Saccharomyces cerevisiae S288C: one gene and its partners. The gene in region 3 interacts genetically with the main gene of each other region. Each region holds a gene or a part of one and is shown on either strand. Other genes may lie near its edges. The genes, in order: YSA1, RAS1 and TPK1.

Region 1 (3,196 bases), on a different chromosome or scaffold from region 3:
CTATGGAACATCCGCAAAGCTCTCAACTGCCACCTCAACAGCAACAACTACAATCTGTTCAACATCCACAACAACTTCAAGGCCAGCCTCAAGCCCAAGCTCCCCAACCTTTAATCCAGCATAACGTGGAACAGAACGTTTTACCTCAAAAGAGATACATGGAAGGTGCAATCCACACTTTAGTAGATGCCGCCGTATCCAGTAGCACCCACACAGAGAATAACACAAAGTCTCCTCGTCAACCAACCCATGCCATTCCAACGCAAGCTCCCGCAACAGGAATAACGAACGCTGAACCACAGGTAAAGAAGCAAAAGTTGAACTCTCCAAATTCAAACATCAACAAATTAGTAAATACTGCTACTTCCATTGAAGAAAATGCAAAATCTGAGGTGAGCAACCAATCGCCAGCAGTAGTGGAGTCTAATACCAATAATACTTCACAAGAAGAAAAACCTGTAAAAGCAAACTCAATACCTTCAGTAATTGGCGCACAGGAACCTCCACAGGAAGCTAGTCCTGCTGAAGAAGCTACCAAAGCAGCTTCTGTTTCTCCTTCTACAAAACCGCTTAATACGGAACCAGAGTCATCTAGTGTCCAACCAACTGTATCATCAGAAAGTTCAACAACAAAAGCAAATGACCAAAGCACTGCTGAGACCATAGAACTTTCTACTGCTACTGTTCCTGCAGAAGCAAGCCCTGTAGAAGACGAAGTAAGACAGCATTCTAAAGAGGAAAACGGCACAACTGAAGCATCTGCACCTTCTACTGAAGAGGCGGAGCCAGCAGCTTCCAGAGATGCTGAAAAACAACAAGATGAAACCGCTGCTACAACGATAACTGTAATCAAACCTACTTTGGAAACAATGGAAACAGTGAAAGAGGAGGCCAAAATGCGTGAGGAAGAGCAAACATCTCAAGAAAAATCCCCACAGGAGAACACACTTCCAAGAGAAAATGTAGTAAGGCAAGTGGAAGAAGATGAAAACTACGACGACTAAAAAGTTTGCATTCAAAAAATTAATCTACTAATTTATAATCAACGAGAAATGTTGTGTAGCTCACAATTCATTCATTATGTTGTGGATACATATATAAATAAAGAAAAGGCTAAAAAAAAAGGTGGGTAACGTGAATTAGGTTATTTTTCATATATGCACATGTAAATATATGCGTATATAAATATATTATTATTTGTATCATTACATACTTAAAATCTATTATTGCTTAAAAGGTTTTCCCGATGAGCATATGTAATAATATTGGGAATTAAGGTGCATTTTCGTATCCTTCATTGTGTATCTACAATCTCTTCAAGAAATTCCCTTATTTGCTTTAAAACGGTTTCCCTTGTTGAATCCGATACCATTTCTAGAAAAAAAAATTCCACTGTTAGTAACGTTCTCTTTTCAATAAATTTAGTGATAAAATATTCACATACCTAATGCTTTGGGTTCTACGGTGGATAAAATTTGGGTAAAGTTCGTAGATTCATTTATGTTCATCTCTGATTTGGTCAAATCTTTGACTTTATCCACCCAACCTTCTTGAAGTAGTCTGGCTTTTAGTTCGTTTGAAATTCTAATAAATGTGACGGTGATCTGAATAGTCAGTAAAGTAGATTTTTTAAAAAAGACAACCCCTATAATATTTTATCATACAGTTCATAGTTTCCTGATTCTACAAGATATTGTTGTATTTGACTCTTTAATTGCGCAGTATCCATAGTCATTGGAGTGAAGGCCAGAATTGTTACTTCTGATTTTGTCGCATGTGTTGGTCAAGCCATGCCTATGGCAATTTTCATTTTTTATTTTTCATAATTCCTCATTTTGGTCTTCATGGAGGAAGAGGTCCGGCAAGCGAATACACTTCCGTAAGGGATGGCAAGTACGGCCGTTAGCGGTTTAATACAACGTCAGACAGCCTTCATATGAATCACGTATATATGCTTTTATGATTATTCTTTCGGCATTTTCCTTCCTTCTCATACTTAGATGTTTTTGAGAAACGTAAGAGTTATTTCCCTCAATTCAAGGAGACTATTTAGAACTATGAGCACCGTCAAGGGTAAACCAGAAGATGCTAAAATAATTGAAGCCCGTCACGTTAAAGAAACATCTGACTGCAAGTGGATCGGTTTACAAAAAATCATCTACAAAGATCCCAACGGGAAGGAAAGGGAATGGGATAGCGCAGTCCGCACCACTAGAAGTTCCGGTGGTGTAGACGGCATTGGTATCTTAACCATTCTAAAATACAAAGATGGAAAACCTGATGAAATTTTGCTACAAAAGCAGTTTCGCCCTCCCGTTGAGGGCGTATGCATTGAGATGCCAGCCGGTTTGATAGATGCGGGTGAAGATATTGACACTGCTGCCTTAAGAGAATTAAAAGAAGAGACTGGTTACAGTGGTAAAATAATTTCTAAAAGCCCAACAGTTTTTAACGATCCTGGTTTCACAAACACCAACCTCTGTCTGGTTACTGTCGAAGTTGATATGAGTTTACCTGAAAACCAAAAACCAGTTACTCAATTGGAAGATAATGAATTTATCGAATGCTTTAGCGTTGAGTTGCACAAGTTTCCTGATGAAATGGTTAAGTTGGATCAACAAGGCTACAAGTTGGATGCACGTGTTCAAAACGTAGCTCAAGGTATCCTCATGGCCAAGCAATACCACATCAAATAGATAGCGATAAGTAGTGTTTCTGTATGAAAAATAGGCGAGATGTTAATACCAAAATACAAAGTACCTTTTGCAACAAGATAGTGTCCCATTTATGAATAAGTACATTGAAAAAGAAGGACGTAATGAAAATAACATTCCGTAGGAAATTTGACAAGGCTATTTGCCATCTTAAGTAGTCAGCATTGAGGTATATTTTCCAAAGCGCGACGTTACGTGTTACCAAATTTTGAATCTAAACTAGCCCTTTTCTACTATTTCCACTGATCTACCTTACGATTCTGCAAAAAACTACCATTAATATCTGTTGAAATCAGTGGTAGTGCTCCTTGTATGTCATACATGGTTAGTGTTCCTTGATTTAAGTATTTGGCTACAGCTTGGACATTGCCGAAGGGCGGCAGAACTGTCTGATAATTGCTGGGATTCAAATTAACGATGAGGGCACAACATCACCTACAAGAAATATAAAAGAAGTAGTCCTTGAGGATATATTTATCAAC
Region 2 (3,672 bases), on a different chromosome or scaffold from region 3:
GTTGATTATACTGTAATCAGCCCACGTTGTCTTTGTATTTTCCACTTTTTTTATTTATACTATTTAAAGAAACAGAATAAATTATAACTCTTTTTTTTACATATCACATTTATATTTACTCCATTGCGTTACAAATATGAACGCTTCGACAACAACGCCAAGGAAACCGGGATAACCCAACTGATATTTTCTACCATACACTGAACGAAATTGCAGAACCAAAAAATAACAAAAAGTTCCCAAAAGGAATGCCAGAAAAAAATGGGAGGCAGGTCCACCTAACAAAAATTTAATCATATGCCATACTTCTTGAACAGTGAATGAGTCATCTCCACACCTAAAAATGTGGCCGCATTGGCTGGGAAAGATCTTAGTAAAGCAGGACCTAAACCAGGGAAAAATCCCTTGATACCACCTCTTTGTAGATAAATTTCCTTTGTGGCGGAAAGCATATTCTGCCTCGTGGAGGAAGCCTGCAATTTTGTCTTTATAGTGTCTATGGGGAAAACAGCTAGCCACATCGACATACCAGCAATACCACCAGCAAGACACACGTTCAAGATATTGACCGGTTCATCTTTGCCCGCATCTTGACGAGGTTGCCTACTATTCAAGTAATTTTTTGAAATTTCATAAGATGCAAAATATAGAGCTGAGCCAGGCCCATCTCTTGCTAAAGTGGCTAATGAACCTTTAAATAAAGAAGCTATGCCACCTTCTTTAACAATGGTTTTAGCCGCCTGAATGAAAGAGCCCTTAGAAGATGTTTGCAGGACAACCTTTACTCTTTCCGTTGGCGCAGTCACTAAAGTGGTAGGAATAGCGCTGATAAATCCTGCTGCAGCCATTTGTCCCATAGTTAACTCGTTACTGCCTCCTTGCTTGTTATTAAAAGTAACCAGTTTCTTACCCACATCGTAACCCCAGAAAGAAACAGCGAATATGGGAGTAACACCTAATAAGGGCGGGATAACACCTTTATAGAACCCCTTTACGGAATTGGTAAATAATGTGCCCTTTACTTGAGTTTTTGCTTCTTTTATAATATTTGTAATGGCATGTACCGTGGAATTCGCTTGTCCATTTTGACATCTCACTTTAATCAAATCGAAGGGATGACCCGTAAACACCGCACATACCCCGCCAACTCCACCGGCCACAAATGATTTGATATTTTCGCGTACAGGGTTTGATTTTATAGGTGGACGAGACTTGGTCAAGCTCCCACTCTCTTCTTTCAATAATGAAGATTCTGATAATGAAGTGTCTGAAGACATTACTGACACGATGACGTTTGTGGAGGATAAGAAAGTCGTACAATACGTAGAATCCAAGGAAAACCTGGAATAAAAACACACATAGAGCGCAATTGAATATCGGCTATTTCTACAGTACAAGCGTCTGCCTATATATGCGCTTGAAATATATCTATTTCGACTAAAGGAATTATACCATCATGCATCTTTACTCTTAAATCTCCATTTGTCCACCGACTTATTGCGGCAAGTGGAGATCCAGTCACGCCGGATGACTGGGTGTAGATAAATAGCCGCCCAACTGATCCCTGCATAAAGCTTATATGCGGATATTAGGAGCAGTAACCCGATGACATTAAGCGTGTAGCCACAAGGAACTTCACCATTACTCATAGCAGAAAAAGCAGTGACCAAAAAATGGCAGGAATGACTCTTTTCTGTTTCCCCTCATATACACTGAAACATCTCGATATAAAGCATGCCCTTTATTGTACCATCAATGCAATGTAACGGCAAACGAGGCTAGGAATATGTATTACCCGCACTGAATTGCTTCTTCACTTAGCACACCCTTGATCGCTATGTTCTACGCTGCTACCCGTTCGGTAGGGAGTGGCGGGGAAATTCACATTGGCACAATGTAAACCCGTAGGAAAAAAAAAAAGCACGAAGAAAAAAAAAGAAACCAAAAATATTTACTACATGTAAGTCTATGGACATTTGACAACAAACTTTTTCAACTCATCGCAAGATTATGAATTTTTCACGGCTTTTCAGGTTTTTTCCTCCTTTTGTTTTACATTGAAAGGTTTATATTTTATGTCTTTGTATGGTTCTCTTAATTTGGATTCTTTCTTGTACGGTGTCTCTATTATCATCTGTCTTGTTCTTTCTTGCAATGCTTAATTAACTGCTGCCACAATTGACTTCGGTTTGGCTATTTCACGATTGAACAGGTAAACAAAATTTTCCCTTTTTAGAACGACATGCAGGGAAATAAATCAACTATAAGAGAGTATAAGATAGTAGTTGTCGGTGGAGGTGGCGTTGGTAAATCTGCTTTAACAATTCAATTCATTCAATCATACTTTGTGGACGAATATGACCCTACTATCGAAGATTCTTACAGAAAACAAGTTGTCATCGATGACAAAGTATCCATTTTGGACATTCTAGATACTGCTGGACAAGAAGAGTATTCTGCGATGAGAGAACAGTACATGAGGACTGGGGAAGGTTTCCTACTGGTCTATTCCGTCACCTCTAGAAATTCCTTTGATGAGTTACTGTCTTATTATCAGCAAATTCAAAGAGTAAAAGATTCTGACTACATTCCTGTAGTCGTGGTAGGTAACAAATTGGACCTTGAAAATGAAAGACAAGTCTCTTATGAAGACGGGTTACGCCTGGCCAAGCAGTTGAATGCACCCTTTCTAGAAACGTCTGCGAAACAAGCCATCAACGTAGACGAGGCCTTTTATAGCCTTATTCGTTTGGTAAGGGACGACGGTGGGAAATACAATAGCATGAATCGTCAACTGGATAATACGAATGAAATAAGAGATTCGGAGCTAACCTCATCTGCAACAGCGGATAGAGAAAAAAAGAACAACGGGTCTTATGTACTCGATAATTCTTTGACCAATGCTGGCACTGGCTCCAGTTCAAAGTCAGCCGTTAACCATAACGGTGAAACTACTAAACGAACTGATGAAAAGAATTACGTTAATCAAAACAATAACAATGAAGGAAATACCAAGTACTCCAGTAACGGCAACGGAAATCGAAGTGATATTAGTCGTGGTAATCAAAATAATGCCTTAAATTCGAGAAGTAAACAGTCTGCTGAGCCACAAAAAAATTCAAGCGCCAACGCTAGAAAAGAATCTAGTGGTGGTTGTTGTATAATTTGTTGAAAATGATCCTGCTCTCTTGATATGACATGGTTTTGATTGCAAGTCTATTCTTACTTGTTCAATTGGTTTCACCAGCATCTTTTTGTATCCATTTTCCTATGCTGTGTATCTAGTAAAAGAGTTGCTTGCCACCAAACATTAATACTAATGGTTAATCTGCCACCTTTTGTAAGCTTTCTATAATGTACAATTGTAATATGTTCTTTTATTCTCGTACAAAGTATATATACTATACACATACAAGCATGCATGCAAGCACGCCGGCAAACCCTTCCTCAATTTATAAAATGTAAACAAACGAAATGTAAAATCAAACTAGCAACAATAAACTCGGCAAAAGCTCTGTTTTTAGAAATGCCTGGAAAACTATTACACAATTGTAACCGCAAACTCATCAATAGGACGAATTGTCCCACACAAATAATGAATCCCGCTAAAAACGCATTGAATGGAAAATTATCACGGATCAAGATAATGAATGTACACTGGATCACCCCTAA
Region 3 (3,738 bases):
TTTATTTTTTCAAAATTTTTTTTTTATTTAGCAAGTTTCTCTATCTCCTTTGTATTCTAAAAGTAAATGGATGGAAAGAATGGATCTTTTCGTAGACTATAATGCTTCCTAAAATATACACGTATAGAATGGAGATTCCGACTTGTTTGGAGCCACCAATTGCCCTTTATTTGGTTTATACCAAGGGGCTCACGTAAAAAAAAAATCGATATGCAAAATCCTTCATTTCATGATGCAAGCTTTCGAAAGTGGCGCGGCGAGCAAAGTAGAAAATCAAAGACAGAAGCGTAGAATAAAAGCCCTTTTAATGGTAGGAATACGCCTCGATAACATCATGTATGCAATCTACAAGAACAGTGAACGCCGTTCCATCTCCGTAGTAACTATACAGGGGTTGAAATTTCGTTTTCGAAGGATAGTTGTTATGTAGAAAAGAGGGAAAAAAATATGAAAAAAAAAAAATATAGATACGAGAGGAAAATACAACAAAACATTAGTCATTAGAAGTCCCGGAAAAGATCAGCATATGGGTCTTCACCTTGAACACCGTAGTTGATGTCTTCTTCCGGGTACTTATCGAACTGTGAGGTGTCACCTTGTCCCTGTTGAATGGGCGGTTCATACGGCGTTTCTATGTTTCTAGATAATAATTTTTCCCAGACAACTTCTTTGAACCAGGGGTGGTTTTTGACATCTTCTGTACCATTTTGTAAATTACCTAGTCTTTGACTTAAGTCTCTTGTGATCAATCTACTCAACAGGTCCTTTACATCTTCGTTGAAAAATGGTGGAAATCTCAATTCGGCATTCAAGATTTTCTCATAGGTTTTCATCGTGTTAGAGTCGTAAAATGGCGTGTATCCTGCTAGCATTTCGTAAATCAGAATACCGAAACTCCACCAATCGATAGATTTATTATATGGTTTAGTACTAACGACCTCGGGTGCTATGTAGTCGGGAGTACCGCATAATGTATATGTGACGTCAGGAACGTATTTGGCAAACCCGAAATCTGTTATCTTTATATGCCCGTTTTTATCAAGCAAGATATTTTCCGGTTTCAAATCCCTATAAATAATGTCCTTGCTATGCAAGTACTCCAAAGCTAAACAAACTTCCGCTGCGTAAAATTTAGCAACTGGGTTGGGAAATCTTTGGGATTTCCTTAACAAAGAAAACAATTCTCCACCTTCAATATAATCCATAATCATGAAAATTTGCTGAGCATCTTGGAAAGTCCCCCACATTCTAATAATAAACGGATGTGTTACGATAGAAAGCATCAATCGCTCGTCGTTGGTATGCTCCACCTGTTTCAATCTTACCACGATTTCCTTTTTCAAAACTTTCATGGCGTAGTATCTGCCATTATGTCTTGATCTAATCAAATGGACCCTACCAAAAGAACCCGTACCCAGTGTCCTTAATATCTGAAAGTCTTGTAAACTATACTTCCCACTTGTAACTCTCGCTTGGGCAATAAACTGTTTATACTGCTCCTCATTGTAATAAGTGACATGTGGCTGCTTCGGTTTTTCTTGGGTTTCTCCACCCTCTTTTTCTACAGACTTACTTTCGTTACCGCTCTCTGTGGCTGTTGTTTCCCTTTCACTAGTCTCACCTTTTTGTGATTCCTCACCTTGTCTATCATCTAGAGACTTTTGACCACCTCCATTTTGTTCTTCAGTCGACATACCCAAAAAAAAGATTCTTTCACACAATCAGCTATAATTCATGCACTGCTTAAGCTAAGAGAACACTACTTTCTGTGCTACCTTTGAAGCCGATTGAAAATGCAAGCAAGCCAAACAAAAAAAAAAGTATAGGGTCAGATTCCTTAGCTTTATCAAATTAAAACTCTTAGATGGATACAATCGCAGCTTCTATGATGTTTCGCACCTAAAAATTCTCACGTTTTTCTGGCCAGAGATAGTAGATGAATATTTTTCAAGTTTTCAAGTAAAGGGATACGATATCCCCCTTGATTATTATGTCAAACTTTTACCAGATCCCGCCTTCCCTCCCCCCTAATAGCGCGAAAAAAAAGATCATCATGATTACGTAGAAAAAACCACAACAACACTATGTTGAATCATGTCATAAGCAAAGTCGTTAGGACACTGGCTTTGCAAGAACGAATAGCAGCACAGCTTCGAACAAGTAACTAAAAATATGTGGTGTATACGGTATGTAAATGTTTTTAAGGCCCGTCCAGCGGAGGGTTCTTGTAAATTCTTAGGAAGAATGTCAACAAGATGGCAACAATACTTGTTGAGAACGGTATATACATAAACAGACTAGGATTAACGGAGACAGTACTTCCATATAGCTTAAGGAGGATGGGAGGGATGACAAGCATAACACAGGACCTTACCAAAGCCATTGCTCCGAACATCTCGCCTGTATGTTTCTTAGAGGTGTACTTTATGATACCAGACTGCAAAGTTGGTGAACAAAACGCGCTCAATGCCTGTAAAAGAGCGAATATTATCATGGATGTGGGAGTTTTCTCGCCAAATCGTATCATGACAAAGAGACTCAGTGTTATAACAATCATAGAAAACTGTATGCAAAAGATGTCTATCTTGTCTATCGAATGGTTCAAGTGTTGATAAATCCTCTTTAGCGTGTACAGTAATGTAGGTGATACGACCAGTAACACAACACCTCTTCCGATACCCAGTATCGATATGAAATAACCTAGCTCTACTGCATGCCATTTGTACTCATATGTAGAAAACAAAATCAATGCTGGCATACACGATGTCGTTCCACAGACAAATAGTATATCGAGTACAATGAGTAATATTACGGTATGCCGGGGTACTAAAGACCCTGCACTGTCGGGCTTCAGCCATAACTTTTTTACTGGAGCGAGCAGGTCCATTAACCTCATTATTTGAAATTTTCCATAAGTAACGGATTGGTAATTTCTTGCATCGTCAGAACCCGATTGTGATCTTAGTTTCTCTCTCCTCTTTGTATAAGTTGATTGTGAATGGGCCATTTGGGTTTCATGGCGCGGTTCCACCATGATTGTCTCACATATTATAAGCGCCAGTATAACAAACGCTATTGATGTGTAAATAGGAATGAACCCGTTTCCATGAGTCCACTTCACCAGAAAGGACCCAAACATTGGGCCTACGCCCATAGTGGCATATATACAACTCATCATTATTCCTATTGTCACCATTCTGTGCTCAGTTTTCACTATATCTGAAACGTAACTATTTCCATTCGCCACTAGCGCAAACAAGCCACCGAATGATGGTACGATACACGCAGTAAGAACAATAGCCCATTTGTGATACTTCATTTTCGATGATAGGGTAAAGACGTGCGTAAGAAGCCCTATGACCCTGATGCCGCTCATGTATTTGAAAACACGCACTCTTCCTATTCTATCGGATAATTCTCCCCACTTACCAGCCATGAAAATACTGATTGCCCCTGCTATCATCATAGTGGATGAAGAAATGCTGGAAACTATTGTCTGTACAGCCACGGAATCATAATGTCCATTCTCATCTGAAATTCCTTCCGCTACCTTGTCCATCACCAACGGTATTGTAGCAGTCATAGAAATAGACTCCGCAATACAGATAATCATAACAAGGCCGTAAAGGCATAATAGTTTTCTACGTCCATGCTCTCCCTCAACGCTTTTGGCAACACTCAAAATACTGGGGGAGCGCCGGATAGAGTCATAGCTACTGTCCTGAGCTGTTTCATTAG

Evidence for each region.
Region 1: mutations in TPK1 (region 3) and YSA1 together harm fitness more than expected from each alone (negative genetic interaction), as found in Saccharomyces cerevisiae (3 studies listed by BioGRID).
Region 2: of TPK1 (region 3) and RAS1, a mutation in one rescues a mutant of the other (synthetic rescue), as found in Saccharomyces cerevisiae (5 studies listed by BioGRID, with this or other methods).

Annotation. Positions count from the first base shown.
Region 1 is NC_001134.8:460,678-463,873, reverse strand, and holds YSA1 (ADP-ribose diphosphatase), read left to right. Parts: upstream 1-2,000; coding exon 2,001-2,696; downstream 2,697-3,196. Other genes in the region: transcription regulator CYC8, read left to right, coding at 1-1,004; SUS1 (Sus1p), read right to left, coding at 1,295-1,374, 1,445-1,584, 1,665-1,735.
Region 2 is NC_001147.6:513,002-516,673, forward strand, and holds RAS1 (Ras family GTPase RAS1), read left to right. Parts: upstream 1-2,242; coding exon 2,243-3,172; downstream 3,173-3,672. Other genes in the region: alpha-1,2-mannosyltransferase KTR1, read left to right, coding at 1-5; CRC1 (carnitine:acyl carnitine antiporter), read right to left, coding at 294-1,277; OST2 (dolichyl-diphosphooligosaccharide-protein glycotransferase), read right to left, coding at 3,448-3,672. UniProt on the Saccharomyces cerevisiae protein: The S.cerevisiae Ras proteins modulate the activity of the adenylate cyclase catalytic subunit and therefore affect the biosynthesis of cyclic-AMP.
Region 3 is NC_001142.9:109,466-113,203, forward strand, and holds TPK1 (cAMP-dependent protein kinase catalytic subunit TPK1), read right to left. Parts: upstream 1,695-3,738; coding exon 501-1,694; downstream 1-500. Other genes in the region: YJL163C (uncharacterized protein), read right to left, coding at 2,201-3,738.